4 linked regions of the Drosophila melanogaster genome follow. The protein of the gene in region 3 interacts with the protein of the main gene of each other region in a pairwise test. Each region holds a gene or a part of one and is shown on either strand. Other genes may lie near its edges.

Region 1 (9,261 bases), on a different chromosome or scaffold from region 3:
ACTTGTACTCGATCTGGAGAAGGCTCCGAATCCCATGGAGTTCACCAACTTGGTGGTCCGAACACCCAATAAGCAAAGAGTTACAACGCAGACATGGAGATTTGAGAATGGACGGCTGATGTGCCATGCCAATATGTGCGTACAGGTAAGGATTTCTTTATGTTTTATTGATAACCTTTAATCTAAAATGGTTTACTTTATAGTCTCGATTTGGAGAGAGCGGCCTGAAGCCCAACTATGAGGCAGTCGTGGGCAGAACGGAAAACAGGGCAAGTTCGAGTAAACAAATACCCATTGGACAACACATTGTTGCACAGAAACTAAGGCCTGGATCGGGACAGCTGGAGCTTTCGACGAAAATGGATGGACCCATATCCACGATCGAAATATGTGATATTAAAATTAAACAAAATTCAGTATTCCTAACTCCCGATTTACTATGGATGCATGCTTCCCTGAATAATAGGCAAATTACGGATAAGGGAAAAGTATCATTCGTGCATGAGTATTTGGTAAGTAAGACTATGAAAAAATCTAACGTATAACAAACTAAGAGTTATATCATTTTAGATTAATGTGGAGCTTGTTAAAGGAATCGGCATATCCATCATAGCTCGCAAGCCTTGTGAGGAAATCATGTTCATCAGCCTCGATCACATAAATTGTGATATTGTACAGAGTGCTTTGGAGAATTCCTTAGATCTGAATATTGCCTATATACAAATCGATAATCAATTGCTGGATGCTGTGAGTCCGATTGCATTGCACACGCAAACTTCGAATGATCTTGAAGAAACACAAAATGCAGTTGTTCTCAAACTGAAAATGTTACCTTCGCCCAACAAGAATGCAATCATTTTCAAGTACTTAACTCTGGACTTGAAACCCTCAACGGCGAGTCTGGAGGAGAAGCTGATACTTAAAGTGGCTTCATTCCTGGGCTACGGCAAGATCAACCGTCAGAACTTAAGTGTGCAATACCAATTCGAGAACACGGATGATAAGCCTTTTCTGCAGGATATGAAGAGATACTATTTTGAGAACTTAAGTATTGGCGCAACTCAGGTAATTTTTTAAAATCTAGACTTAATGGTCTTAAACAACTCAATTTTCTCTTTAAAGGTTCGACTTTCAGCATTCACTTCTTCAAAGTTGCCGGTGGAGTTGCATGAAACCAAGAAGGCACTTGGACTCACTCTAATAAAATTCGAAGATGCCTTGATTGAACTCGACAGGTATTCGGATAAATTGCACTTTGAGACGATGGACGTTTATCGGAAGGAGCTGAAGAAGCACTACATCAACCAAGTCAAATGGCATGCGGCTGCAATTTTGGGCAGCGTCGATTTCCTTGGTAATCCATTGGGATTTGCCAACGATCTTTCGGAAGGAGTATCCGGACTGATTTTTGAGGGCTCCGTCAAGAGTTTGGTGAAAAATGTTACGCATGGCATATCGAATTCGACGGCGAAGCTAACAGAAACGCTGTCCGATAGCCTGGGAAAAGTTGTGCTGGATGATCACGACAATGAGACGAGGCAACGCATTCTGGAACTGCAGTCCAATACATCCGGCGGTCACCTTGCAGCGGGTCTGAAGGGTCTCGGATTTGGACTGCTGGGCGGAGTAACGAGTATTGTAAGACACACTTACGATGGTGCCACTTCCGATGGCGTTCCTGGCTTTCTCAGTGGATTGGGAAAGGGCTTAGTAGGCACTGTCACCAAACCGATCATTGGTGTATTGGACCTGGCATCGGAAACTGCCAGTGCCGTTCGTGAAACAAGCCGAGATAGTCACAGAAACGCTCCGGAAAGGAAAAGGCTACCCAGATGTGTGACTGGTGCTCCTGGTGGTCTTTTGCCATTGTATTCCAATCGCCAAAGCAAGGGGCAGCAATATCTGTACCTAATCAATCAAAAGAACTTTTCGGAGAAGATAATTTCATATGAACCCAATCTATGGAGCGACAAGGAGGCTAGATTGCGCTTGCTGGTTTCTACAGAATACGTACGAATCTTTTCACTAAGCGACGCCAATCCAACCATTATGTTTGAATGTCATGTTAGTGAGATTCTTTCGTGCCATCCAGTGGTAACGAATGCCGGCACAACGCCAACCACGAGCAGCAGGGCGTCGGCCAGTCACTACATCGAGATATCAACCAATCTTCCAAAGATTACCAGGCCCAGGATACGGTGTCGTTCCGAGGAATGTGCTGAGGCAGCATCAAGATGCGTAAGTAGAAATCATCTTAGCAGAAATTAGTAGAAATTATCTTTCAATAATAAACTATTATTGTTGAAGCGCAGACTTTGTTTATCATATAATTTATTTACTTTTACAAATTTTGAAATGATTATCACATATATTCCATACTTGTCTTTTTCTTTTAGATAAACTACGCTAAAAGTGTCTTTGATGAACGTGAACATGCCGTTTTATAAAATGCAATAGGTCGGTTCGTGATAATAAACAAAAACCTTTTGACAACAAATGTTACATTTTATTTTCTTTGGCAATAAGTGCTATTTTAATTTCAAGTAGTAAGTAAAATAAACATTTAAGAAATAATGAACCCACATACTATGGTGTGATATAAATCAAGGATCAAAAAGCGATCGACACGGAATACTATAAACAGATATTACGGATTCATTGTAGGATAAAATGACCGCAGTGTAAATATTGTGTAGATATATTATTTGTCATGACGGGCATTAATACAAAAAAGAATGTTTGTAAAGTTAGTAACATTAATAAATATGGTATTTAATAATCGGCATTCTTGTAATGCTCCTTACGAAACGATGAGAGTTTTAGTCGTTGCATTTGGAGAGCTTGTTCGATTTCGAGTACTTTAACATGAATTTCCATTTCCATCGTTTTAATCTGTGATGGCGTTAGCTTAGAAAGTTCTATTTCACTCTGCTGCTCCAGCTGGGAGTTGCAATCCTTCACGGTGGCGACCAGAGTTCCTGTTGCCTGCGTTACGCTTCGCGAGGCTTTTGTGAGGTCGGTTAGCTTTTGACTATTACGTTCAGCCTTGACTTTGCTCGCAATAACCATTTGGGTCGTGCAGGCAGCAATTTCTTGGGCAGCCACAATGAGTTCAAAGTTCTTGCCAGATTCACTTTCAATAGCCTTGTTTGCAGCTTCCACCAGATAGTTGGCTGCCTTCGCCACACTTTTCGAGGCGGATATCAAACCATCTGACCACTGACTGTTCCGCCTATAAAACTCATTAGCACTCGCATTTCCTGAAAGAGTAATTACTTGTCAGTAACTTCATTGAATTAAAAAATATTGTTAGCTACCTTTTTGGGAAGCCACGATTTCGTGTTGCAGGAGACGAGATTTTTGGATTAGAGCTTTGACACATTCCATCAAGGTGGTACACGCATCCACTATTTTTCCGTTTACCTCTAAATTGGTTTGGTTGTCCTTCTCTCGAGCCTTTGCCAGTAGATCTGTAATTTTGGAGGCTGCATCATCAATCGCAGCGTCCATCTCGCGAAGCTCGATTTCGAGCAGCTTATCTAAATCAATCTTCTGTTCAAATGATGCCTTTATTTTCTCAATCAGCTTTTCAATATCTCTCAGCTTTGTTTGTATATCAGTGATTGTTTTCTGTCTCTCGGGTTCTTTTGTTTCATTATTTAATAAGTATTGGAACAATTGACAGATATCGGTACATAACAAATTTGTTTTTGAGAAAATTTCTGCAAAATAAGTAATACAAAGTTAGTTTGCTGTAGGTGGTTATGTTTTTAGTGTTATCAACTTACCCTGACCTGTCTCAATTGCAGTTGTTGTTTTGTAGATAACATCACATTGATCGTATAGTTTTATAAATACATAACCCAGATACATAACATTTTGCAGTCCTTCGGTTGAAGCAACATAGTTTATAGCCGATGCGTTATTGAACTTATTTAAAATGGTCTCCATTTCGCGTATTATGTTTGGCACCGCATCCAAAGGCTGTTGTTCCGATCCGCTCAACTTCGAATTGCATATTTCCTTTACAGTCTTGATCACCAATTTTCTGAGTTCACTCAAATCGGTACTACAGATTTGGTACGAACTTGTCACGGCATCAATTTGCTGTGTTGCTTGGGTTAGTTTTACCTCAGTAAGCGAGAGTTTGCTTTGCAAATCCTCGTTACGCTGACCCGCTGAAGCATTTTCCTGCCTCAATTGATTCACAATTTCCTGGGTTTGCTGAAGAAAGAAAAGCAGTTTCTATAATTTTCTTGATTTAAATTGGTTTCATTTACCTGTAATGCACTCTCATTTTGCTCCAAGTTGTTTAAAGTTAGCTGCAATTGAGCATTTTGTGCTTCGCTGTTGTTTTTATGCTCTATACCTAACTGCTCTATTTTAGTTAATAGCACTGATTTTTCCGCTTCAAATGCCTTTAAATTGTTTTGAATTTCCAATGCCTTTAAGCTGATTTGGCTTTCTGCGCTGGACAGCTGAAGCTTAACTTCATTGAACTCTTTATCCTTTTGTTCCAAGTTATCCATTATTTCTTGCAATTGAGCGTTTTGAGCTTCACTATGGCTTTTACTTTCAACACTCTGTTGTTCAATCTGAGTTAAGAGCAATGCCTTTTCCGCTTCAAAAGCTTTTAGCATTTTCTCGATATCCTCGGTCTTTGCATTTATTTGGCTTTCGGCGTTCGACAGTTTTTCCAGGGTGTCATTGAGGTTTCCATTAAGCTCTTCGACTTTGAGGCAATTTAGCCTCAGGTTTTCGGAAGTGGAAATAATATCGAGTTCCTGAATTTCCTTTTGTTTAACCACATCATCGAATTTCTCCTTCATCTCGTTTTTGACTGCTTCAAGATGTGCTATTTTCTCCTTGTGCTCTTCGATTTGCTTTTGCAGAATCAAGTTTGTTTTCTCTTTTTCCTCTACGTTTACTTTAATTTTGGAAATTTCATTGGTAAGCTCCTTAGTTTCCAACAATAGTTGTGAGTTTACTTGTTTCTCTTTATTTAAGGACTTGTTGCAATCACTTTGCTGATATAAAAGTATATGAATGAATATTAGTATAGGAAATAGAAAATATTGTGTTTCTGCATACCTCTCTCAGCAGCTGAATGTGCTCATCTCGAATCTTTGTGTATAGAGTTTTAAGTTTATTAAACTTTTCCGACGACAACTTGTGCTTTTCTTCTTCCTCCATAGCTTTTTCTGAAATACAAGGTATTTTTATATGACTTCATTATGTTTAATAAGCATTTAATTACGTAAAAGAATTGGGTTCTGATTCAGTTGCATCTCAAGATCGTCATTTTGCATCCGAAAGGTGGCACACATTTCTCTCGCCAAGACCAGATCATTTGACAGCACAGTATTGTTCTGTTGCAACTCCTGAACGTCGTGTCTGTAGCTTTGCTGCAGTGCGTCGAAATTTTTTTGCATTGCGTCCAATTTGAATGACAGCTCCTCAATGCTAGCCTCTTTCTCGCTGATTATACCCTCCAACATGCTAAGCTGCTGCTGGGCTTGACTGAAGGCTTCCAGCTCGTGATTGTTGGTATCCACAAGGTCTTCAACAACCGGATCGGGCTCCTGGGGAACGTGAACCACTGGCGGTACATAACTGGTGAAATCGTTTTGGGACTTGAAGTTAGGACTTGAGTCCGGCAATTCCGGGATTGTTATTAGGTCCTTGAAATACTGAAGCGGTCGCACGTTGTTGTAAAAACTCTTCAACTTTAAAAACAGACCGTGAAAGCGATCTCTGTGTCCGGAAACAACGTCGTATGGTACACCATCGTGTAGTTTAAACATTAACCGAACGCTTAAATCGTACAACGCATTGGAATCCTGGATAAGGCAAACTATTGGCGCTAATCTACATTGTCCCTGCGGTGTCATCGACGACATTCTGTACTTTTCCATAGATGAAAATATCGTCAATTGCAGCGCAATTATATCCTCCAAGTAGTCGAAAATTTCCACGCACAGTTGAAAACTGGAATCAATGGTTCTGTCTCAGTAGTTTGAAAGTAATATATATCTATTTTTACTTACCAATAATTTAAATCCCTATCCACAGCAATGAAGAGTTCCGTGAACGAAATGTTCAGGGTGCCGGGAAACATTCGATTTTTGTCGTGGAAGTTTAATTTTGTGGCCAAGAGCTTACTATACGCCTGTATGCAGCATCCAATATCGTCCTGCAGCAGGCCCCACATTTTTCCCACCTCCAGTATCATCTTCTTGTGGCTCTGCGAGTGGCGGATGGCACTTTCATGACCCTCTCGCAGGACCTTGTGCAGCAGATGCGAAAACTTCCAGGCAGTAAATCTACTCTGCATCAAAGGCTGCCGGGAGATGATCATCCAGAATGTTTTGGCCTCTTTGGCCTTGTGTATCATAATAATAATGGAGCGGGCATGTTTGGTTTTGAGTGGCGCTTCCAGGCCATTTAAAGCTTTGGACACGCTGACGTTCTGAAATGAAATGTAAATATTATAGTTTAAATGGCTTTTTATTGTTGTACACTTTCGAAGAAGTGACTGACTCAGCTTATAAGATATGGACGGATTTTGGCGGACGATATCTATAGTTTTATACTTTTTAGTGGAATTCGATCTAAAGGGGGTGACTCACTGATCGACTATTTAGTTTGGAAGTGCAAACATTTCGATGCTTTTAAAAATAAGATTCCAAACACCTACACCATGTGTTTGATATGAATTTATGATAACAGAAGGTAATCTAAATACTGGATTTCACTTCTTATCGTGCCGAATTTGGGTTGATAATCAAAAAATTTGAAAGGCCTTTGTGTGCACATTGAACAATTGATCAAAGTGGATGTAGTCCGCATAGCATTCATTGCAGTTTCTAATTTTCTGGGTCATCCGAAGCGGAGAAACTTGGGATTAGCATGTAGTGTAGTCTCTGTGGTGTTGCAAGTCGTGTGAAAAGCTGATGATATTTCGAGCTGTTCCATATAATCTGGTTCAAGGCTGACTTCTTAAGTGAAATGTTTATGCATATTTGAGCGGCGCGCCTGTAGTTGTGTGCATAAACATTTAGGTATTTACACTATGCACATGATATGACAACATCCGTGTGCCTATAATCTGCTGTGGGTATTCTTGGCGGTTTTCTTGGCTTTCCTTTGGGCTTACGTACCAGGTGGTAGAACTCCTTTTCGGCGTGAGTTGCCATTGTTTACTGACAATTCTTGGCGTACTTGCTGAACAAATTCGAATCATTCGCAGCGCGATATATGTGCATTAGAGCAAAGACAGCAAAGACATTGGAAACGGGAGTTATCTTATCTTATCAACAATGTTGGCCATTGTTTTCGTATTGGTCGCGTTCGTATTCATTCGGATTCCGATCGTGTGCGTGTATGAAACAATGAGTGTAAGAGTAAATTAGTCATATAAACAAATGTTGTTTTCCTTTATCGATAAAAGTTAATAGAGCTGGGCGGTGTTCCGATATGCGGGCTTTACCCTATCGATTCGTTTCGATAGTCATCAACTTCTTGCATCACCATTTTGAGCGCGAAAAAAAATGTTTTGCAAATTTTTATTTTTTTCCATTAAATCGAAGGATATTTGAATTGAAATACACTTAAATGAACCAATATTTAAATTATAACATCGAACGCTTTCAATAAAACTTCAGTTAAGTTAAAAATTTAATTTAATTTGATTTTATACGATGGTTTAAAAAAAAGCTTTAGAATGTGTTTTTGAAATTTTTGTGTACTGATTTTCTAAAAAGATAGATTTTGTTCGATATTTATAGATCTGCTACCATATTTTTACTTTAAATAAAAGAACGACAATTTTAATTTGTTTTTAAAGTAATTTTAATTTAATGTATTCTTCCAACTGTTTGGATTAAATTTGGTATTCCGATTGATCATAGTAATCCAAATGTACATTTTGCTGTGGCCAAAACATCTCGGCTGGGTATTGGTTTTGTGGTGGAATGTAACGTCGATTGGGATCTGGAACGGATGTCATCATCAGTTGCGGATGATGATATTGATTGCTATAAGGACAAGCGTGGTGTCTGAAAGTAGGATGCTGTTCTCCGTGAACAAAATTTGGCTGCAGTGAAAATTCCGGTGGCTGGAAGTTGGAATCCATGCGTGTTATATTATACTTATTCACGGTGCGTTCATAGAATCCATCTGGAAGCATTCGAATGTTCTCTTTTAGTTGAGGATTGTAGTCAGGGTTTCTGGCCTGAGAGGAACTTGGGTCTGAAGTATGTACAGATTCCTGAAAATGATGATAGGATCCATGATCCGGCTGACATTGTTCCTTCATTTGAAATTGATGCTGCACGGCTGGTGCTGAAGCTGGTGACTTAGTGGGCATCCACTGATCCCGCGGATCTATAAGGTACCCTTCATCGAAAGGAGTGACATTTTGTGGAGCACTCACAGAGATCTGCGGTTGTAGCATATGATCCGGTGGCTTCGTAAATCCTTGATGGAGACTCGGAGGAAGACCCGTGTATTGATAAGGACACGAGTTACAGGGCGGTCGTCCACAGGTCTGGAGTAGAATTTCCCTGTTACAGGGAGTTCTTGTCTCTATAAGAACGGTGTTCCCATTGATATTTGCCTGGTTTCTGATCCCAGCACTTTCACAACTACGAAGTTTTCGAGGTTGCATTAGGGTTACCGTTTCCAGTGTTTCCACGTCAGTCGATGTATTGGGAGCTAGTAATTGGGAGTTCGGAGGTGGATCTGTCCAAGTTAAGTCAGTAGAATACCCAGAAGCTCCAACCATAGCTGAATTATGCGACCCGTCCTCGTTTTGATGACTATCGCGATGGCTTTGGTCACTATTATTTCTATCACAAGCTAGGTATTCATCTTGTCTGTGCTGGTCAGGATATTGGCTGCTGGCCGAAATGAATCTTCCGCCTTGCGAATTGTTTGAATCATTTCTTTGAATACGTCTAAGTACTGGGTAAGATGTTTGGGATGGGGCTTTTCGTCTATTTTCTGAGGATGGTGGATTGTTACTCAAAGAATCAGAAACGCCTGGATGATTCTGCAGATTCCTATTTCTCCTTTCAATAGATTGCTCTGCTGTATTCGTTCTAGTAGATGGCGAAGAAGCTAGAACAAATACACCGTTCATTTGGCCAACAGAAGAATTGCAGTTTCGATTCTTCGTCCTTTTTGTTTTCTGGGTTTGTAGTCGAACGTGTCTTGTAGTCGCTGGTGCCATTTGAAATTGATTGGTATTGAGTCTGGTGA
Region 2 (9,033 bases), 7.1 Mb from region 3:
GTGTGGCATACATTTAGGCGTCGCCGCATGCAAATGTTTGACGTTATACAATAATAAAGGCAAATCCCCGGTAAAAAAGAGGGACCCACACTAATATACACATACATATATATATTTTTTATATTCTTCGGCTTATTTCTGCGACGTTTTTATTTCCCCGCCGGCTTGTTCAGCTTTTTGCATATTTTTCTTGTTCGATTTTTATCGCCGACGACGACGACGAAAATGTTGCGCAAATATTTGCGCTTTTATGTGCATAGCAAAAACCTTAGCTCCTCATTTTTTATGTCTCTTTTTTCCATCCGACTTGGAACATTTCACCACCCCCCATTTCTTTTTGTGCATTCAGATTTTCGCTTTGCAGATGCTTGTTGTTGCTGCTTTTTATGATTTACTTGTGCTTTGTGTTTGTACTTTGGTTCGTATTTGTGTTTGTGTTGGTATTGAAATTGCTACACTGAAAACAAAAAGTCGGCTTTTAAATTTGCTTTTGTTTTATTTAAAATTCCGTAGGAACTACTGGTTTGCATGTGCATTAACCAAAATATATTATATATATAATAATACTTTATATTTTTAAATATCAAATTGCCATCAAATTTTAAAAAGGTTTTTTTTGGAAATTTTTCTAATGGTTATGTTTAAAATATGACACGATTTTAAAGTTTTATATTGCCTTTTTTTGCTTTTTTATAGTTGAAATACATTTCAACACAAATTTTTTGTCTGTGTACTGATGTGTATACAGTGTTGCAAAGGTAAATTGGATTGAGAAATTGAAATCGCATTCAGCGGCAAAGGGGGCAGGCGGGCGGATGGCGAGAAATAGGGGGCAAGAGCAAAGGAGATAGAGGAAAATCTTTTCCGTTTTATTTACCTTATTGATTTTCCCTTTTGAACAGGTCGCTCTCCATGTATTTGTGCACCTCCGGCCGAGATAATCGAGCTGAAGTTGCATTTCCCACTTTGCTGGCGAAAAGTTTAATGGATTTTTCCACCATTCAACACCGAAAGGTGTGCTTTAAAAACTTTCCTGCTGTCACTTATTTCCCATTTCGTTCGTACACCTGCCGCATTTGCCATTTGTTCGACTAACTTAGGCTTGACAATTCTCAAAACATTCATCAAAGTCCGGCGCTAAAACCATTTCCGTGTTCTCATTTCTCCCCCCGCAAACATTTTGTCAAACATGAAACATTCGCCTAGTGACGTCACAACTAATTAGAGTGGAAAAAGAGGAACTTTTCTTTGTCACCAAGTCAAGTTATTTGTTTCTGAATGCTTTGCCTAATTAGTGACTTCAACTTTGCTAATATTATGAACAAATCTATAATTATAAGAAATAAAGAAACTATCTTATGTTCAGTCTTACTCTACTTTTAAGTTTTATTGAGAACTATTAGCTCTTCTCCATATAGCCAAGTTTAAACTTTCATACCTTGAAAGTTTTAATAATAACTACAAATCCTTAATGCTTGACTTCAAAATGTTTATTCGGTAAATATGAATATGAAAACACTATATATCTACGACAAACATGTTTCAGTTATTTGGTCTTCAGTGTGTGTGTGTGTATGTGTTTGTGTTTGTATCTGTAATGCAAAATGACTTAAATAACAATAAGGTTTCTGTTCGCGATTGGTGCAAACGTGTTGGTAGTTAGCCTAACCCAAGCACCCAAATCCCAGATCCACGTGGATGCGGCCCCATGGATCTCAGTAATGGCGCTGCATCACCCTGTCCAGATCGTTCCAACTGCATGAGTAGTCGATCTGCAGTAGACCCTTCTTGCTCAGTCCGAATTTACGTGCGTAAATTCCCGAGTAGAGCGACGAGTCACCACCGCTGGAATGATGGGGCGATGAGCCCCTAACCCGACTGCCATCACCACCCACCAAGCCGCCCATGGTTCCGTAGAGGGCGGAGGGTGCGGCATAGATCTGCTGCTGGCATTCGCTGCAATCCGGTATGCTGCAGTACGGCAGTGAAGCATAGGGATTACAGTAGTCGTAGGCGGGCGAAAGTGGCGGCGGTGCGGGGAAATCGATCTGCGGCGGAGCGGCCATGGGCGCCGCCTTACCGCTTCGCTTGCGCCGCGGATGGGGGGCAGTTCCATAGCTGCCGACCATGTTGGTGCTCCGCTGCATCTCGCTGGGCACGGAGCGGCGTTGCATCGTGGCCGCGCGTCGTTGGAGAACGGGCTGCTCATCGCCAATGGAGGAGGGATGCTCCGTGGAACTGGTGCTGGAGAAGCCTGAAACGTGTGAGATTACACGGCATTAGTGAAAGCTATCAAAATCATTTGGTATTTTACAACAGCTACATTTATATTTAAGCACTCGATGGGTTTAAAATCAATAAAACATTTATACTTACATATAGTTTGAAAAGGATTAGTAATCAAAATATATAACAAATACTAAGTAATTAATGATCCCCAAGTACAGAAAATCAAATTTCATTAGTCAAGCTCAAAAATCAATGATTTTGCCAGAGATTTGCAATTAAACGTTAATCGAATTGCCATAAAAGACGCACTGCGTAAATTGTAACAATCAAATGGAATCGAAAATGAAATCTAAATGCATTTGTGTGATTTGCATACAAAGCTAACTAAATAAATTGGTTATTACGAAACAAAAGGAATTTTAAATTAAAATCTAGTTTTAAAGGGGTTTCGAATTTGCATTTGCTATTTGCGTTTTTCACTCACCTCCAAAGCCATTGTACAGTTGCCGCTGCTCCTCGCCGTAAAGATCTTCCGGCTCCTCATCCTCGCCGTTGTCCAGGTGCAACTGCCTGGTCATGGTGGCCATGTAGTCCTCATAGCGGCTGGGCACACCGTAAATATCGCTCCTGGCCGTATAGAGTGGCTCCTTGCGAGCGCTGCGGCTACGGCGACGAGTCCTTTGGGGCACACAGCACTCAAGTTGGCACTGGGCACGCGACACCCGGCGACTTTGGGTGTGGGGGCGTGGCATTGTGGCCGACATGCCCACACCCATACCCGCACCGGCGGCACCCACTCCGTATCCGTATGTGGGACTGGTCGTCAGCGAGTTGCCACCACCTCCGTAGGCAGGTTCAATTGCCTCACCATCACCATCACCACCACCGCCACCGGTGACATCATCGATCTTCTTGCGAACATAATCATAGTTCTCCAGATCCCAGGGATCCACATAGCAGCGCTGCGAGGGCAGCAGCGTGGTGCCATATATATCCTCCGTGTTGTCAATGGTATAATAGGGGGATTCCAGGGCGCCCACTCCCTCCGAGGAGCTGCCACCAGGTAAGGCCTGTTTTGGACCGGCTCGTCGCCTTCTTGGGGTCGTTTGACTGCGTTCACGCATGCTGTAAGAAAAAAAGGCAAAGAAAAAATACATAAATATTGGTTGGGAAAATGCGGAGATGGTGCGCGTGGTGTGGGAAAGCCATGAGCAAGTGCATCAACTGGTTGCTTACGCAACGCACTTTGTGGCCAATACTGAAAACTCTTCCGTCAACGAATCGAACCCGTTCTTCGGCGTTGGCCGCGAATTTTCCGCGGCATTAATGCCGGCTTAAAATTGCACACCGGCTTGGCTATATCTTTTGCAGGTGTTACACTTCACGACTTCAGATTGCAACCATTAGCCGGTTTATGGATCTGCATAACTTAGCATGGCCAATCAATTGGCATTCCAATTGCCAATAAGCCGAGATATTCCATTAGCCAACAGACTGGTTTACGTCAAAGGAAAACTAACAAAAAACCCATCCACCCGTTTCGGGCATCGAAAACAAATTGCTTTACTTATCAAATTTCATTAAAAAAACAAAAAACTATTTAATTAAAATCTGAAATGGAGCCCGTCGGCAACTGTATAAATTTATAAAAATATGCGATACAAAATCAAGTGGAATAAGTGCCATGCAAAAAATACACAAATTTCCATTTTGTCGAGAAGGTTAACTAGATTTTCGATCAGGCTTGTCAGTTGCAGTGCCATCGAAATGGAATTAAAATACACCGAGTTTTCCATTGTAAAACTAAATAAATGAAAAACGTTCAGTTTTTTTTTAACTGCATATTCATTTCAGAGTTTATTTAACATAAAAGACAATATCAACATGTAATAAGCGAAAAACGGTTCACATTTCTTTCATTCGATTAAATCTCTACCGAAATCTGAATGAAAAGCATGAATGGGCACAGAAAATATTAATATTAATGCATCTGTTTCCGCAAAGTTAAAAAAAATACCTTAAAAAATATTAAATTAAATTTTTAGGCAAATTTTTCGGCTGATATTTTACATAGGCTTTTGGTTTTCTCCGGGGTTTTCCCCTTAATTATTTCTACAATATAAAACGCCCATTTCAAAAAAGGGTTTTGCGCAATCTTTTCGAGGCATTTGTGATTTGTGCATTTGCATAAAAATGTTGAGTTGGTTTTGTTTTTGCCTGGTTTGTTTTAATCTCTTCGGTTATCGATTAACATTTGTATGGCCTGATCAAGAAAAAAGGTTTCCGATGGGAATATATTTTTTATAAAATACACAAACTGTACCGCGAAAAAAAAATAAAACAACGTGACTTGGCTGTGACACGCAAATGAAATCGTTTATCTGTGTATCTTTCAGGGTCTATAAACTTTTTATGGCATATATCCAAACAAAACAAAATATGCACACAGAAGCCCATCTGAATGCACTTTCAGTGATTTGCACGCGAGTGAAAATGGTTTAGGGCTTGTTTTTTAAGCTATTTATTATTTAAAGGAACTCCAAAATGTAGTCAATCCAAAACAAACAATGTAGGCATACAAATTCTGCACTCTATACTTGATATTCCAGTTATTATTCTAGATAACTGATGAATAAATTGATAAGAATAATAAATGTTCTTGGTGGGTGAAAATCGCATTACGTATGCGCCACGTGGCCCTTTACCGTGAAAAGTTAATTGCATGCGCAGTGTTTAGACGCAATTAGAGTTGAATATGCAAACACATTCGTGGATATGGAACCACTTAAAACCCCTAAGACCCTGTTAATTAATTGGCATCTTCGGACGGCACTTCCACTCCTTCACTGCGGTTGGCTGATTGCCCCGGTCAACCTCAGATACAGATTCAATTTCGGATTCAGATTCATTTCAGCGTAAAGTGCCGCTTTGACTTTGGCTTCTGGCCATTTGCATATCAAATGTGACAAGTTCGCGTCGAGTTACTTTGTGTAATCAGTCGGGCTTGTTAGCGTGTTTGGTGATTGATAGTGGTTTTGGCCACCTGAGTTAGGCTTAAAATAAAAGACAACTATCAATATTTGTGCAAATCCGGGCTATTAAATGCTATTAAGACGGATGACCGTAATGGGATATTTAAATAAAGATTAAATTTAAGTATACTAAAAATAAACTTATTTAAGATAAATGTAGGTTTGTAGGTAGCAACCACAAACACTCTTTATAAATATTAACTGGTAAGATATTCCACTATTTATATTTTACTACTCAAAATTTTGCCCACCTCCATAATATTATTCGATTGACTTTGGTTTTCTCCGAATATTTCAATTAAGGTAATAATTAACAACCTGTCCATGTCTCATTCAGCACAAATTATGCAAAGGTAAGGTAAATATTTCGACATCGGATTATAATGCAAAATAACTGGAAACACGTTTGCCAAATGCCAATCGACCTTGCTAAGTATTCAAATATATAAATATTTATTCGAGTGATATCATGCCCAATTGTGGATTTACATCAAACCAATCGAGAGCAGGGTAAAATGAATTTAAAAAGTCACATCTTCTGCCGCACCTTTGAAAAAAGTATGCGAGACGAGCAGAAGTTTTTATCATGAATCACCTGAGAAGAACAGTTCTCTCGCATACCTGGGCGTAGTGCCCTAAAATGGTGATCATTACATTACACCTGAGATGCATTCGAATTTATGTGGCACAGACCCACGCAGATGATCACTCAATCTCGACAAGCCCGCAAAAGATTGAAAACGAACATCAGACGGAGCTGAAGATACACCTAAAAAGATACTTGGCAGCCTGCCCACACTAAAAAAATAGCAACTTTCTTTGCTTTTGACACAGTTTTCTGGGCAGTTTCATTCACCTTGTTATTTATTTGGTTTTGGTGTTGGTTATAAATTTGAATTTGTTTTATGCCGTCGGTCACTTGTCACAGAGCACTTTTATGGTTATAGAACGCTCTTTTAGCCAATTTGTGAATTGTAAATTTCAAACACGTCCGATCGGCACATGATCTACGCGCATGCGCAACCGCGTTGTGTTCGCTTCTTCGACCGGCGCTCAACTGTTTTGGCCAACGGTTTGAGCCAAGTTACAAGTCTTTGGCGCTTCTCTGCCAGCATGTTCGAACGGGTTTGATCCTCGGTCTGAGCTCACCTCACATGTTCGCTTGCCAATTTCCATCAAAATTAATCAGAGATCCCATTCAGTCTTTATGTCTTTGGCTAGATGTAATTTCGGCCGGCCTGTAAATTAATTAGCAGTAAATTAAAATGACAGCAGGTGGTTATGTCACAGTCGCAGAGCTACTCAAAGTCACATTGATATGCAAATTTGAGAGTCGTTGAAATGCGGCTGCGCCAGGGAAATGCCATAGATATGTAAGCAAAACTGGGCTTCATTACACAACGAATTGAAGTTGCTCTAAAGAAATGTATCTAAAAACTCAGTTAAAAAGTAGAAATTGTAATTTGAACTGTCATCATTTAGGAAAAGAAGCTGATTCATACCCAACATATATTACACCCATTTTCGAAACTCATTCAACTTAACCGCATAGTGACCATAGCCGTTGCTAGAGTAAGTGGTTTAAAAAAAAAAGCAGCTGCCAAGTTCAAGTCTTTTTCACTTGCGGAAAGAAATTGAAATCGCTGCTGAGAGAAATTGCATCACTTCAACTTCAACTTCAACTTGAACCGACATTCGGGTGGGGCAATGTGCGCCGCCTTTGAATTCATCAAAAGAAAACAGGTGATGAGCATCATTTCTCATTCGAGACTTTTCCCATCTCCAGCAGCTAAAGCCCAAATAATTTATGCAGTTTTTTTTGTTAGCTACCAAAAGGTATTTATAAAATTAATTGTTTGAAAAAACCTTAAAAAAAGCTTTCACTTTCAGTGCGGTGGCGGTTGGTTTTTTGTGTGGTATCCCCAAAGTCGTGCCGATATTTATGGTGTTTATTCAGTCAGGTCAGTTATTATTTCCTATTGCGGTGAGTGTCGAGTGCAAACAATCAATTGATGGCCCATAGACCAAACCAAAAGCAATTCAATTAAGCCAGCTCAAGTGGGCCACACTTTGTGGTCAGATGTGTCACCAGATAAAAAAGCAGGCAATTAACAAATAATTGTTTGGGGAATTTTAAAGGATTTGCGAAATCTCAGCGACCGCAGATGTTATGCTTCTTAAATTATTTAAAAATATAAATTCCTATCATATGTTAGTATTTATATACATATATATCTTTAGAAATATATCTATAAATGTCTTGCAAGCTCATGCCATTCAGCTTTCGAATGTTATTTGGATTTCTGGTCACGAGAGCTTCGAAAATTGTTGCCTTCACCGGGCATCCATCCATCCATTGAGTTCATTTAGCCAGCCTGCAGTTCATCAGGCCTACATTCCTTGCCGTAGAATCCCAACCCCAATATAGGTACATATGCACTATTTGGACCCATTCAGAGGCTCTGGAGCCAGAGCAATTTGCCGCTTTTAATGGCGAACGTCGTTTTGGGACTTGGGCAGCACACGTTGCCAACGCACAGGAAACCGGCTGCACCTGGCCACCCAGCGGGGGGCGGTGGTGATGCATTTTCCGGTAATGGTAAGGGGGTGGTAAGGGAGCGGTGCCGCAACCAGATGTTTGCCTTTGACTGGCGGCAGACTCGTTGATCTCTGCTCCAATTCCAATACGTATGTGTGTGTGTTTGCTCGGCTCTTTCGGTCGGTATCTATCTATCAGATACTTCGCACCGGCGACATTGCAACATGCTCTTAGTGATGGCAAGGAAAAACTGCAAAGCTATTTCATATTGGCAACAATATTGCACAAGTAGTAACATCAATGATTGAGGAGTACATATATCTGATTTCAATCGATATTGTAGGCCTCATATCGAATTGTACTGCCATAGAGCTTGCCATCAAAAAAAGATATACTATGTATCCTAAAGATATGAAAACATCTTGCATGAGTAATGAAGAACTATTTACATGTAATATAGCTTAATTCTTTGAATTCCTTACACTTATAAGTGAGTGATACTATGCATCTTTCAACGTTTTATGATTTCTTCAGTTTCTTTTGGTTATTACGATTACCACAACCAATGTGAATTGGCAACAGCTGCAGCGAGCATTACAGATGCTGAGTCGCAGATTGCGCTGCACCCAAGCCCAATACCAGTCGCAGTACCAGTACCAATACCTCTATACCTATCTACCAATCCAAATCCGAATCTAAACCGAATCGAATCGAATGGCTATAGCCTATAGCACATGACTCTTTTTACCGCTGTGCTCTACGCTTGTCACTCGGCTTGCCACTTTCGATTTTTCATAGCTGGGGCAGCCTCTGTGGCAGCGGCCTTTTTTGTTTTTTTTTCTTTCTTTTTTTTTGCAACTCACCGACGACTCCCTCCATTGGGGCAATAATTGTAAGTGGACCTGGGCATTTATGGCGTTTTTGCTACTCTGGCCCCATTTGGCCACCGTGTTGGACATTTTGCACGTGTTCGGCCCACAAAAGGAAAGCGACCGAATGGCAGAGAAACACAGGGAAGAAATATGGCCGGTAATTGTGTGCTTCCCATTTGGTGTGTCAGCAAAACGCTTTTTTGTGGTTCCTTTTCCAAACTCGGTACAATTGGCAGTATGTAAGAAGCCCTTTCCCAACATCCATCTTTAAGTGAATTATTCAAACGTAAATTAATCATTTAAGCCGAAATATGAGAGCCCAAAAGAATTTCATAAATTTGTTCAGCTCATCAAATCTACT
Region 3 (8,062 bases):
GCCTCTTATCCGCAGGGGTAAATATTCATAATTTTTCATTTACCCCCCGTGGGCCATTCGTTTCCCATTAAATTAAACGAAGCTGAATTTTCACGCAGTACGAATGGGTGTATCCTTTACTGTCTGCCGTCTGTTCAGTTTTGGGATTTTCCTGGGTAAATCGGTTAAAATGCAATTATCGTCGGCAGTTGCAGTGTTGCAATGCGATGGCTCTTTCATTTCGACGGAAATCGAATTGATTTGCTGCATGACCACAGAAGAAGACAGGTGAAACGAATCCATGCGACGATTTATGGCCAGGAATTAAGCCTCATTGAATTTGTATTAATGTGAACGTAATACCGGTGGAGCGAGACTCGCATAATTGAAGAGCCCATTAAATGGTAAAATATAAAAATTGATGTCTTGCCTATCCAGCCCATTCCAACTTTTGTCGGAAATTGAATTTGATAAACTTTCTAAAGGCAAAAGGCGGAAGAAGAGAGGAGTTTCTAGGCAGCAATTAGTCCTTTTTGAGAGGATGTCGATGGGTGGTGAGGAGTGGGGTGGGGGTGGCTTGGGCTTGAGTTTGGGGTTTTGGGTGGAAAACTCGGTCAGATGAGATGCTACGTGCCATGCGTCAGCTGGAAAAATGGGAACCAAAAAGTTTGTTTATGCTTAGACTTTTTGGCCGGGTTCTCAAATTCGGGACCATATAGCACCGGAGCTCTGGCTTCGACTGCTGCTGTCATTCAAGTGTTTTAATCAATTCTGATTTAATTTTACGCCCAATTAAGTGTGAAAAGCGTTTGATGTTGAGCACGGGTGCGAGAGGCAAATGGCACCGTATACGCCCCCCGTTCCCATCCAACGGATTTTTCCGACCAAGTCACGCAAGCGTGAGCATTGAATATGCCATATGTGTGTGTGTGGGTCTCGCCCTTTATGGCTCCCTAGCTGCTGAGCCACATAACCTCGGATTCAGGATTCAGCCGGGTTCGGGTTGCTGGGTTCGGTTAGCGACTTTATTTAATACGCAGCACTAGAGTAAACGCATTTTTAGATGTTTGTATCCGCCTGAGCTGGAGACACTCACCATCACCGCCGCTTGAGTATCCTTGCCTTGTGGCTTCCGCACCTGCCCATGCTCACCGCCTCGCTTACGCTCACCCGCCATTTCTCTCTGTGTACCCGCTAACCATGGAACCACTTTCTTCCTATGACAGAGTCAGCCGTGGCATATAGTTCCGCCCCAGCATTATCCACTAATCTCTATCAACAGCCACTGCCAACGGGCCGCTCCTCCGGCTCCAACTCCAGGTTAAGTCTGTTGGAGAGCTTGGTCTGCATGACTGCCGATCCCATATCGTTGTGCTTTTGGATTTGTTTGCAGGTAAACATGAAGACCTCTCATCTTTTATAATATTTGTATATGAAAACCTTTTTTGGCAAACATTCAATTACTTTTAAACGTGCAATTCATTCCTTTAAATATTTACATAGCTCGCAAACTCTTTAAGCCCGAAAAGATTTCAAGTCCTGATGGCCCTTCAGGTGCCACAACTCCTCCAACAGGGTTGTAATGTGAATTGTAGTCGTTAAGCAATTTTCTTGTACTTTTACAATGCCAGAGGAAAGGTATGAGGTCATATATGGTTGCCAGGAGCCGCTGAAAATTGTATCTCGATCCAGATTTAACCCATGAGAATTAACAAAATTATACGAATCTATTACAGTAGCGCAGATAGAATTTACTTTATTCAGGACTTTCATGTATTACTTTTTGACATCGATTTTTGTGCACATAAATTTCGATATACATGAGGATTAAATTTAGAGTTTTGAAGATTGTTGTTGTAAGGCTACACAGGTATAATTGCAAGGCGTTTCACTTTTTTTTTTTTAAGGAATGGTGTTTAAAAGTGTGCACGTGTTTTAACTTTGTTTTCAAAGACGACTGCCTTTTTCAGATAAGCGTTTGTTTCGTAAGCTAATTAATTGTATTCCATTTCAGTCACAATTTCTCACTTTGGCCTGTCGTGTGTGTGTGTGTGTGTGTGTGCTTGTGCATGTGTGCGTGTATCTGTATTCCACGAGTGTGGTAGTGGTACTATTCCGTCTACACTTGGAAATTTAAGCACTAAGTCCACTCATTTTACATTTTACGCAACGTTTGCGCTGTAGAGTGTGTGTGTGTTGTGTGAGGATGAACATGGTTGGATTGTAGTAACTTAACTAATCTTAACTGGTAACTTAGAACTAACTGAATTGTCACTGGTGTTACGTTGGCCAAAGCAGCCGTCGTTTGTTAGCTAATTTTTTATCATGCAGAGGCTAATTTTGATATCAGCGATTTTATCAATTTTTGCTTATTTTTTTTTTTTTGTGGAAATTTTGCAACTTTCGATTTTCAATCTTGCTGAATTTGTTGCATTTCAAGTACGTGTCGAACGTTTAAAAAATCGTTGGAAACTTAATTTTGCTATACTGTGAGGGCCGAAAAGAAGCGAAACGCGAACCAAGTTCATTCTTTTTATAACACCAAACGCTGGCCCTGATCGAAATAGCATTGTCTTGGCCAGCGTTTCAGGCAACAGGTGGATTTTCCAGAGCCTATTCCACCTGAATTGCCTGTACTAAATAACGGTATGCGTATAAAAACAAGGATATCGAGGGCTAGAGAGATTGTAAGTGTGATTATCTAAAACTAATTCCCTAGTGTTTGCGTTGCGCCTACGTCGAGCAATCGAAAAGCAATCCTTCAAGGATCAGGATCGCCAGTTTTCGTTGCTCGCGCATTTTTTCGAGCTGTTTCATCTTAAATGCAGTTATACATTTATAATTTTTTTTGTTTAGAAGACCAGGTTTTCTTAAATGATCTGATCCCTCTCCACGCCGAGGCCCCAGTTTTCCAATGTTGTTTTGTTTGGATTTTTTGATTTTTTTTTTTGGGGGGGTCACTATATCGACGCTTGAGTCGGTTTGCGTGTGTGTGTTTTCTGTGATGTGTGTGTGGTGGTGGTATAATGGGGTGATTTTCGATTGCCCACGCTGGGTGGCTATAGGTGGCATTTGGATGGCCACCCAACGCGATGCACATCCCATGGTGCGAGCGGTACTTAGTAGACAATGAGCAGGTTGTTTTCATTGAATCCAGCCGAGTGACCAGCATTGCGTACAATGAAACAGGATCCGTCGAAGTGCATGCGCTTCTCATTACGACTGCAAAAAAAAAAAGAACAAAAGGAATCTTCAAATATCCGATTAACTGAATTACTGCAAAAGTATGGAATCAATTAAACACTATCAGTGTTATAATCGAATAAATATACGACGAGAACAATGCATTCTTCGAGTGCATCATTATTGCAAATAGGTGTGGATGCAGTGGCCAACTCACCGGACGAACAGGTGCGAGGTCTTGCCCAACGAAGCCGTGCAGTGGATGCCGGTGGTGGTCAGGGTGGCGGATCCATTGCCCGGACTGGTGCGAATCAGGCACTTGCTGTGCTGGCGGCTGACCTTGACCAGGCCGTCGGCCGCCTGGGTGATGCGGAATCCATTGATGTCATACACCTCGGTGCCGTCCTCGGCGCAATTGTAGGTGGAGTTGGCGATTACGTCGTGGGCATCGGACACAAAGGATGGGCCGTGGCGCGAATCGCTGGAGGGTGTTGTTAATTGGAAAGAGGAGCTTGGCGAATTGATTTGGGCAAATTTCGTGCTTAACTCACTCATAGAACACCGCCAAGGTGTAGTCCTTGGTCAGGTCGGTGAAGGTATCGGTGGTGGTGCGAGTGCCAGCTGTGTCCACCAGATAGATGAGGGCACAGGACTCGCTGGTGAAGCTAACGCCCTTGTACCACATTTTGGCATAGCGACTGGAAGAAAATGATTGCAGCTATAGTTGCATAGATTTTATACGAAAATCTAATGAGAAGTACAAGTTTAAATTCCAAAATACTAGTTGTTTGCCACTCTTAAAGTAAAGGTTCGATTCTACTTCTAAGCTTACACAAAGTTGTTGGCCTTCATTCCGTCGTAGGTGACGATCTCCACCTTGGAGCCGCTCTGCAAGATGCGCCCATTGGGATGGATGAGGGCAGAGTTGCTGCAGTTGCGCGATAAGGCGGCGGCAACCATGCTGCGCTGATTCAGCACACGGACAGCCTTGTCCAGGGTCATGTCAATGCTGGAATCGGGAATGATTTGGAATGATGATCAAGGGATAAATCTCCTACCACGTTCACTTACCGAACGCCCTCGCGCAGGCGCAACTGGATGGTGCCATTGGACATGGCAATCGGTCCAGATCCTGGACACGGTGGTGGTGTGTTGTTCTCGAACTCAAAAGTGCGCGAGCTGACGCGATCCATAGCAAAAGGTGGTGGTGGCATTGGCGATGGGAACTGCTGGGTGTGATGTGCCTGTGGCTAGGTAGATATCGCATATTTCTAAAATACGAAACACGGGGCAATAAATCAAAGCACTTACCATGCAGTAGGCTCCATCCACCTCATAGCCATAGCCAGAGTTGAAGCGTCCCGTTAGACTCTTGCCGCTGCGCGTAATATTGCCGGCATCCATGTTCCAGCCCATGGTCTCGTAGCCGGCACCAGATTGCGGCAGGACTCCGAAGCCCGAGTGGGAAGATGCGTGCATGCCCATATTCATGTAGCTGCGGCCGCAGCTGTTTGTCTGGCTGGAGCACTCCTTGGCCAGGACGGAGGTGCTGGTGCCCACGCTGGCGCTGTTGCCCATGCTGCTGCTGCTGTTGCCGCGCTCCAAGCCGCGCTTCACTCCGCCAGTCAGCGAAAGGCTGCTCATACGTGGAGCCAATGGGCTGTTCATCGATGACACAAAGCGCATGGTGGCTTGCTAGGGATTGGTAAGGGAAAAGGTATCACATGGTACATCAAAGATCACTTGCAAAAAATGGGAAGAAAAGATGACTTGCAAAAAATGCTAAGAAAATATGACTTGCAAAAATGACTTGCAAAAATCAAAGAGACGATTTTTTGCATATGCCTTCAAAATGAAGGCAATCCTATGGAGAAGTGACAACTCTACTCACCGGCGATGGGTTGTTGTTGGTGAATACGGAACGCTGGCGCACACCATTTGGAGCCTTGGTGGGCGAGCGCAAGATGTTATTGATCTTGTCGTTCAACTGGGCGCGGGACAAGAAGTCCTCGGCATTGAAGATGCCAACGCGGCCGCTCTTGGGCGTGGCCAAGGGGGCGGGGCCCGGTAGAGCCAGCTCCTCGACATGGGGCTCATCCAGGGCGCCGGAGTGCTGGCACTGCACCTCCTTGGTGCTGCTGGTCTTAGGTGCAACGGTGTCCTGGGCGTCGGTAACCATTTTGTCAAGATTCGATTGTTCAAAATTTATGGGAAAACCGTATGGAATCGAATGGGTGATGGATGATGGTGTTGTTGTTCTTGGTTGAAACGGGGCCTGGACTTTGGTATGTGGATCTAAACGAGAACGGCACACGCGGCGTGCTGGACAGCGAAAATCAAAGTACTCTGCTCGACACGGAACACAACGACTCAATGAGAGGAATTTAATTTTTTACTTTTTATGACTTTTCAAGAGCACTGCTCGCTGCGACAATTTTCGAAAGAATGACTTGCCTCAAGTGCCGATGGAAGGATGTGCCATCAATTCTGACACTCACTGGCCTACCGGGTTTTTCGATAGTTGAAAGTGTCGTAATATCGAGTACACGATACTTTACTTTTCCCTTCGTCCCTTTGAAGCCCTGGCACTTTTAGATTTCCCGTGAAAGTTCAACGTATATCCGATTAGTGCTGCATACTTTTAGACGGCAAAAAGCTGATTGAATTCAAAATAACGCATTTAAGGACGACACTGTAGTGCAACCCATCTCCTCGCTTTTAGTGGCCGGAAAACGAAGTTTCGCCTTCGTAATTGAATCGAGAAATAGACTTGAACACACGCACAGCAGTGCAGCTTCCAGCAATTTATTGCCGCTCATTTGTATAGTTTCTACGCAGCTATAAGCTGCAGCAAAAGACTTAGGCTTTAAGATTTATTGGGAAACTGCATTTTCCGAACGGGAGAAAGTGCAAGAGAAAGTGCCGTCATTCTTATCGATGCTGGTTAAATGCTGAACAAGTGCGCAGAGTTGCAAAGTTTTGAAGCGTTGGCAGGAAATGTCAAGAGTCAGATAAAAGTGATGTTTGCACGTAGCACAGTTTAGTACTTTGCTAATAAAAAGCTATCCCCTTCTAAATTGTTGCTTTAACGTGGCTTAAATATGTTGTCAAAGTCAAACAATCACGCAATTTAAATGTATTATACATTCAACTGAAACTTTTAAATTGACATATTAAATAAGAACTGGCATTTAAAGTTTCTGCGAAATGTAAACTGCTCTTATAGAACTTTCCAGTCGAACAGCTACAAATTTTTGGATTATTTCTTAATGAATAAACACTAAAATCATAATATATTTTAGTAATAGCTGCTCAATCGTTTTTCTTGTCAGTTATTAGCCATTTTATTTGCCTGAATGTTGACATATTAGCCACAATTTTGGCAAACCCCCAAGGTCGTTTTATTTCCATTTTTGTGGGTTCACTAACTCACCTTCAGTGTGCAAAGTCCCTGAACTTCCGGAACTATTGTGTTTTTTGTATACGACTGTCAACTCTTTCCGCTCTCATGATTGATTTTGCCTCTTGATTTCAGTTTTTTCTTGCGCGGATTAGTTTGTTTAATGAGCGCATTGACTCCTTGCATTTGGCCATCGGCCCACGCAGATTTAGATTGACACTTTCGCCATCATATCTATTTAAATGGACGCGTTTATTTAGACACTTGGCTGGCATATTTTTTAAATTTTATTTTTGGCACTTGGTCGGATCATTAAAATTCAGCCACTGCAGCTGCAATTCCGCCCACGCATCGCATTGACTCAGTTTTGAGCAACACCAACTGAAAGTGAAAATGTGTAATATATTTATAGCAGGAATGCAATCGCATATGCATTCAATGAAATACGGAAACTCATTTGTAAAAATCACCCCGTCCACCGAAGTGATTTTTCCGTTGTCACTTTCGCCAGCCGCAAGTGAAACAAATTGGTTAACCTCCTTTTTCAGTATTTATCGTTAAAAATATTCGCAAATATTCAGACAGCTGAAAATTCAGATTTTCAGCGAGCGTCGTTGGAATAGTTTGCTAAATTTTGAATTCAAGTTGTAATTACGCTCGTTTTGTAAAGGCAAAGGCACATTTGATATGAAAACTAAAAGGAGAACATCAGCCAAATGAATAGAGAAAATTCGCTATTACTTGCCGAAGCTCGTTAAAATGTGGAAAACTATTTTCGCCTTCTGCAGTCAGTGAACTTTGGCGCAGACAAAGATCATAAAATCCATACTAGTGTAGCGGCTATATATAGAAAGTGCATAGGACTCCGACTTGGCCAGTGTTGCAATCTTTGACGTCACCGTTCGCGTGAGTGGCAGTGCCAGTGGTAGTGGTGACCACTCAGATTGATGAGAAACTTATGGCATAATTGAAATGGCTTTTAAAATCCATTTGTTCAGCGCCTTCTTCCTTATTAAATCCTTAGCAATTTTCATTAAAAACAATTAGCGCCAACGACGCCACTTGCCTTTGTCGACAATACCAGCCCCTTCAGTTTCTACTGGGGGGCAGGAGGTGCTCGGGAATTGAATGGACTGGGTTGGAATCGGTTGGGATGGGACGGGATGGAAATTAATTGATTGTCAAGATGAGGCAACGGCAACCGAGCTGTGTAAACAAATAAATGTGTCTGGTCATTCAGCGGGAGATCTTTGTTGTCGCCTCTAGATGATAATGCCGCCCCGCTGTCAGCTATGGAATTACACTCACCCACTATATATATATATATATATATATATATATATATATATACAGATATTCCGAATCCGATGCACATACATTTACGGATCTCAACCGACAGGCACGCGACGCTAAAAGCCTCTCGGCTTGACTTCCATCAATATTTTGGCATTCCCGGCATTATTCTGGCCGCGTCGAATTCCTTGGTGACTTTTCTGTTTA
Region 4 (5,296 bases), on a different chromosome or scaffold from region 3:
ACACAATTTGCCAAACAAATTGGCCAGCTCGGCGAAATTTGATTTGATTTATTCCTTTCAGCACTCTCGGATAGGTTTTTTAAAATATTGCGTTTTTTTAGCATAAGCTTTAGTTTAGTTTCCATGGTTTGGTTCGGGTTTTTGCGCTTGAAATAATTGATATCGGCTATTTGCATATCAGATTTAATATATTTGCATATATTTCTTTTGCAAAAGAGAAACGATTTTGCGGCAAGCCAGTCAGCTTTTTGGGTAACATTTTTTGTTTTTTATTTGTCGCCAGGCATGCGGAAATAATTTTGGCAACTAAAACTCGTATCTAGAGAAGAATAGAAACGGTCTGCTCGTAAAAGAGTTCGAAAAGCCGGCAGCTCCAAACATTTTTGCAAAAGAAAGGCTAGAAGCAAACAAACTCGTTTAACTGGGGTTTAACTGGCAAATTTGTCGTTCGTAAATAAAGCTTATGATTTAAGGAAATTACTAATGCTCCAATTTATGGTGAGGCGACAGATTTGATTGGATTTTTGCACCTGAAAGGCACCGCCCGGTTTTGACACCAGCCAGGTGATAGCCGAATAAATTAAATGCACAATTTTATTCGTTTCGACATTCTGGTGGGTGCCAGTACAATGGCAATAAAATAATATAGGGGCAGTCTTGTTGTCTCGAAGAGAGAAAGACTAAAAATAATGGATAAAATAATAAACAGTGTCAGATTTTGTAAATAGATCGATTGACCCAAAAGGCCATTTACATAAAGTGGTGCCAGAAATTCCCTCCCGTAGATGTTTTTTGTCCGCTTGAGCCGTTTTTTTTTTATTTATTTATTGATACGCCAACGTCGTCCGACCGCTATTATCTTCGATTTCGTGCTGGAAACTCTTTTCCCGCGTTTTGACCACTTTTTATGTCGCTGCTGCGTGCATCTTTTATGTGCGTGTGGCGCCCGAGACCTTGAAATTGTGGCTGGGTTGTTTTATTATGCTTACATTTGATTAGTTTGCATATGACATTGCCACCAGCGACTAACTTGGCTGAGATGCTGGCCAATCGGCGAGCCGCAACAGTTGGCAGTGGGCAAAAGGTGGGGCCGCACACAAAGCCAAGACAAATTGTTTTTGACTTTAGGTTATTGCTTCGAATGTGAATCTTAATTGGATCCCGGCCAGCGTGGAATGGGGGGCATCATATAGCATCATTAGATATAGAACCATATAGAACTTGTGTGTGTCCGTCACTGAAAATGATATCATGGTTGTGATGTCTTAGCGGATTTCCTAACTGACCCCATCTTCGAGTTACTCATCGCTATAGTTATCCGTGATATCAATCAATATATATATTAGTCATAACCGCGATTGGCATTCGCCACTATTGATTTGCAAATCGGTTCGGCTATCTTAAATATGGATCTTGGGTATTTCTCCTAAATTATGCAAATCAAATCAGTTTTCAGCGGATTTGCTGCTGCCTCTACCCCCCTTCTGCTCGAAAACTTTGCCGAAATAAAATAAAAAACCATAATTTTTATGATATCAATAAACCATGATGAAAAACGTGATAATCGCTGATCAGATTAAATGGTCGCCTGGCGCCAGCTGATTACCGCCGAATTCCGAATAGCTTCGGGTGCTGGTCAACAGTAAAAAACCTCAAGGTCGCAACGGTTGTTAGCTTTATGGCTTCTATTTTGCGAAGCCGTGTTTTTGCCACAGGTTAAATGGCCAAGCGACGAGCTCCGGACAAATGGACAGATGGGCCGTCGGATAGATGGACGGATGAATGAATGGATGCGCAAAAAGGCTGGCGAAAATTGATTTCTATCCATTTCAGATCCATTGTTTTTCAACCCTACCACAGTCCACAGTCCAGTGTTCGGGTTTTATATGGCCAAACCCTAGAGCAGCCAGTTCCATACACCATACACCATACACCATACCATACCATATACCATATACAATATTCCAAATACCAAAGGGGGACGCAATAATCGCTGGGGATTCCCAGCTAGAAATATGCGGCTGGATCAACTAAAAAGTGTAGAAAAACCGAGTCGTTTTCGAACTCGTTTGGATGCTCCGCTAAATGTTTTAGCATACAAAATATGAAGAAAATCATTTCATTTACTGAAAGCATGACCATTTATAGTAGTGGCTTTTGCTAAACGAGTTTTCAGCCGTTTCCTCCGCCGAGAGCCTGCTCTATTGGATTACAACTTGACGGGTAGGGTCGTGTGCCTAAAAATTTTCGATGATGGTACTACGACTTGGACTGAGGGATCGTGGAATTAGCATAATGTCGACGCCAACATTTGCAAGAATAGGGCGGCCAGGTATCGATGCGCTTTGTTCACGTCGGCTTGGCCATTGTTTTATCGCACAAGCTTCGTTTTTCGAAGGTGGATAGCATTTCAAGAGACAAAAGCTGCCGAAGAAGTTACCAAAAAATGCTGCGGAGCCAACAAATACAACGATGGTAAAGTCTGCATGAACTTGAGCGCAGTTTAGTGACACCGATCGTTGGTTTTCGTATAAATATTGGACCTTTCGGTGATGCAAACGTCAGACACAACCAAGTGGTCAAAGTCAAAGAACTAAATTCAAAATGCGTGCCTTCATTGTAAGTATACGTTCGATCGCCGACGAAATACTCCAAAAGGATACCAAGGATTACAATGCTGTTTTCTTTATCTCCAGGTTATGTGCTTGGTGGCAGTCGCCTGCGCCGATAAGCTCGGCTACAACTACCAGCCCGTGGGACACTCCAGCTCCGGACTGTCCTTTGCTCCTGGAAGTGGCAGCATTGGAGGTGGCTCCATCGGAGGAGGCAGCATCGGAGGAGGCAGCATCGGAGGCGGCAGCATCGGAGGCGGCAGCATCGGAGGCGGCAGCATCGGAGGATCCATTGGTGGTGGTTCCATTGGAGCCAGCATCGGAAGCGGTGCCGGTCTGGGTGGTCTGAGCAGCATTGGTGGTGGAAGCATTGGCAGCATCGGAAGCATTGGTGGTGGTGACGCCCTCAGTGCCCCCGTCTCCTACAACGCCCCTGCCCCAACCGCCGAGCTGGAGAAGGAGTTCTTCACCTTCACCGCCAACGAGCAGGACTTCGATGAGCCCCAGCAGCTGGAGCGTGTGTCCTCTGCCCTGAACAAGGCCCTGCGCGTTGTCTTCATCAAGGGACCCGAGAACCGTGGCCTGGAGAACGCCGCCCTGGCCCTCGCCAAGCAGGCTGCCCAGCAGGAGACCGCCATCTATGTCCTGAACAAGCAGGCCGATATTGGAGATCTGGCCAACAAGCTGAACGCCATCCGCAGCAACAACAACAACAAGCCCGAGGTGCACTTCGTCAAGTACCGCACTCCCGAGGACGCTGCCAACGCCCAGCGCGCCATCCAGGGTCAGTACGACCAGCTGGGAGGATCCAGCCAGGCCCACAACGGTGGTGTTGCCCCCGTCCTGAACTTCGCTTCCGCCGCTCCAGTGCGTCAGGCCGCCGCCCAGAGCCCCGACAACTCCTACCTGCCATCTTCGGTCTTCCGTCGCGTCTAAGTCGCTCGTTTCACTCCTTTCGGAATCGAAAACGCCAGCGATTTTTGACTGATATTAAATCGTAGTTTTTGTTGACTAATGCTTAAATAAATTCAATTCTTAAATTTTAAAACCAATTTGACTTGTTGTAGTGCATTTGTAAAAACCAAAAAACTTTGCAGGCTGAGTTCATTGGGAACGAAACTTCGCAAGTTCGGATTTATTTGCAGCGAAATATTTTCTTGCAAACTTTGAAAGCGCACATAAGTAGAAGCACTTATATATTTCTTAGGAACTAGTTTATACTTTAACCATATTCAAAATTTAATACCAGTTTATGGCTGCTGAGATCTTGGGTTTTGAACAAGTATTTTTATTTCTTCTTTCTTCTTTCTTTCTGTTTTTATTCGATTATCGCTGCTATAAATAGGTATACAATTTATTTTGAAAACTGTTGCATACTTATGTTGCTTTCGTCAATTTTTAAAGGAATTAACCAAATGAAAATACAATAATTTACATAACCAAATTAGATAACTTTTATTCGAAAACAACGTTTAACAATCGATTTTCTAGTGACGCAGGCGACTCAGGATGTTGGCGGGTAGGTAGTTGCTCTGGGGCACCTGTTGAGGAGTAACGCGTGCTGGAGCAGCTCCCTGGGATGCAAAGTTGATGGCATTAGCCACGCCACCGTTGATGGACTGGCTGGAGCCGCCGAGTTGATCGTACTGCGATTGGATTGCCCGCTGGGCATTGGCAGCATCCTCAGGTGTCCTGTACTTGACGAAGTGCACCTCGGGCTTCTTGTTGGCATTCTGGCGCACGGCATTGAATTTCTGGGCCAGCTCGTTGATATCAGTCTGTTTGTGCAGCACATATATGGCAGTCTGCTGCTGGGCCGCCTGTTTAGCCAGGGCCAAAACGGCATTCTCGTAGCCACGGTTCTCCGGCGACTTGATGAAGATGACGCGAATGTTCTTCTTGACCGAGGCAAGAGCCCTCTGGAGAGCAGCCTTATCCTCGAAGTCGTCATCGTTGGCATAGAAGCTGTAGAACTCCTTGTGAACTGACGCCTGGGGAGCGGCACTATAGCTAACTGGTCCCGCCAGTGCAGGGACTGGGGATACACCACTGCCCCCAATACTGGTTGTCGCACCTTGTCCGTAATTATATCCGGACAAGCTACCGGCACTTGCCGCTGCCACAATGCTTAGAATAATGAGGGCACGCATATTGACCCGATGCCTACGAGATATTCTAGACGAATGAATAATATAGCATTCATTATCTACCTTTTATACCGCCAACGCGACGACGTTTAAAATTAGACTAGAAAATCTAGTCAATTGAGCCGTCTAGTCACTTTGGGGTCCCTCTGGCGGAACACGGCGATCATCGATCTCCGCTCACGAATCGTGACTCGCGAATGGCCAGTGGCTATTGGCCATCGGGTTTTCGGAATGCTGTTAATCTGCTAACATAATTTCGCTCTTAACACATTTAACACATTGTTGTGGGCAAAAGACAGCTTCAATCGTGCCGCCGACTGAGATGAGATTCCGAATCGAAGTCCGAGTCCGAGCTAAGATCCGATTGCGAGTCCAGTCGTTTTCCGAACTATCGTGATTCACCCATAATTGGCTTATAATTTATGCACAAATAAAAGAAAAATAACCGATCTCTTGGCTGTTTCAATCGGATTGTTTTGTTATATTTGCTTGAATATGTATACAGAACCGCTTATTTGTTAATGATTTCAACAAAAA

The links.
Region 1: the proteins of fest (region 3) and Hip1 interact in a two-hybrid assay, tested with the Drosophila melanogaster proteins (one large-scale study listed by BioGRID).
Region 2: the proteins of fest (region 3) and CG8854 interact in a two-hybrid assay, tested with the Drosophila melanogaster proteins (one large-scale study listed by BioGRID).
Region 4: the proteins of fest (region 3) and TwdlM interact in a two-hybrid assay, tested with the Drosophila melanogaster proteins (one large-scale study listed by BioGRID).

Annotation. Positions count from the first base shown.
Region 1 is NT_037436.4:12,766,115-12,775,375, forward strand, and holds Hip1 (huntingtin interacting protein 1), read right to left. Parts: upstream 7,460-9,261; 5' UTR 7,197-7,459; coding exon 7,161-7,196; intron 7,106-7,160; exon of another isoform or gene 6,630-7,105; intron 6,470-6,629; coding exon 6,048-6,469; intron 5,989-6,047; coding exon 5,258-5,988; intron 5,202-5,257; coding exon 5,092-5,201; intron 5,028-5,091; coding exon 4,281-5,027; intron 4,225-4,280; coding exon 3,789-4,224; intron 3,723-3,788; coding exon 3,318-3,722; intron 3,261-3,317; coding exon 2,773-3,260; 3' UTR 2,448-2,772; coding exon of another isoform or gene 2,397-2,447; 3' UTR 2,318-2,396; downstream 1-2,317. Other genes in the region: Vps13D (vacuolar protein sorting 13D), read left to right, coding at 1-145, 204-512, 571-1,065, 1,123-2,238, 2,397-2,447; CG32106 (uncharacterized protein), read right to left, coding at 7,883-9,261.
Region 2 is NT_033778.4:12,222,991-12,232,023, forward strand, and holds CG8854 (uncharacterized protein), read right to left. Parts: upstream 6,321-9,033; 5' UTR 6,118-6,320; intron 3,857-6,117; exon of another isoform or gene 3,355-3,856; 5' UTR 3,354-3,354; coding exon 2,714-3,353; intron 2,255-2,713; coding exon 1,716-2,254; 3' UTR 1,471-1,715; downstream 1-1,470.
Region 3 is NT_033778.4:19,339,363-19,347,424, reverse strand, and holds fest (wurstfest), read right to left. Parts: upstream 5,617-8,062; 5' UTR 5,342-5,616; coding exon 5,054-5,341; intron 4,858-5,053; coding exon 4,474-4,857; intron 4,413-4,473; coding exon 4,234-4,412; intron 4,172-4,233; coding exon 3,995-4,171; intron 3,861-3,994; coding exon 3,714-3,860; intron 3,644-3,713; coding exon 3,380-3,643; intron 3,202-3,379; coding exon 3,099-3,201; 3' UTR 1,671-3,098; downstream 1-1,670. Other genes in the region: Rgk1 (Rad, Gem/Kir family member 1), read left to right, coding at 1,328-1,372.
Region 4 is NT_033777.3:26,616,563-26,621,858, forward strand, and holds TwdlM (TweedleM), read left to right. Parts: upstream 1-2,555; 5' UTR 2,556-2,604; coding exon 2,605-2,619; intron 2,620-2,696; coding exon 2,697-3,548; 3' UTR 3,549-3,662; downstream 3,663-5,296. Other genes in the region: TwdlP (TweedleP), read right to left, coding at 4,100-4,762.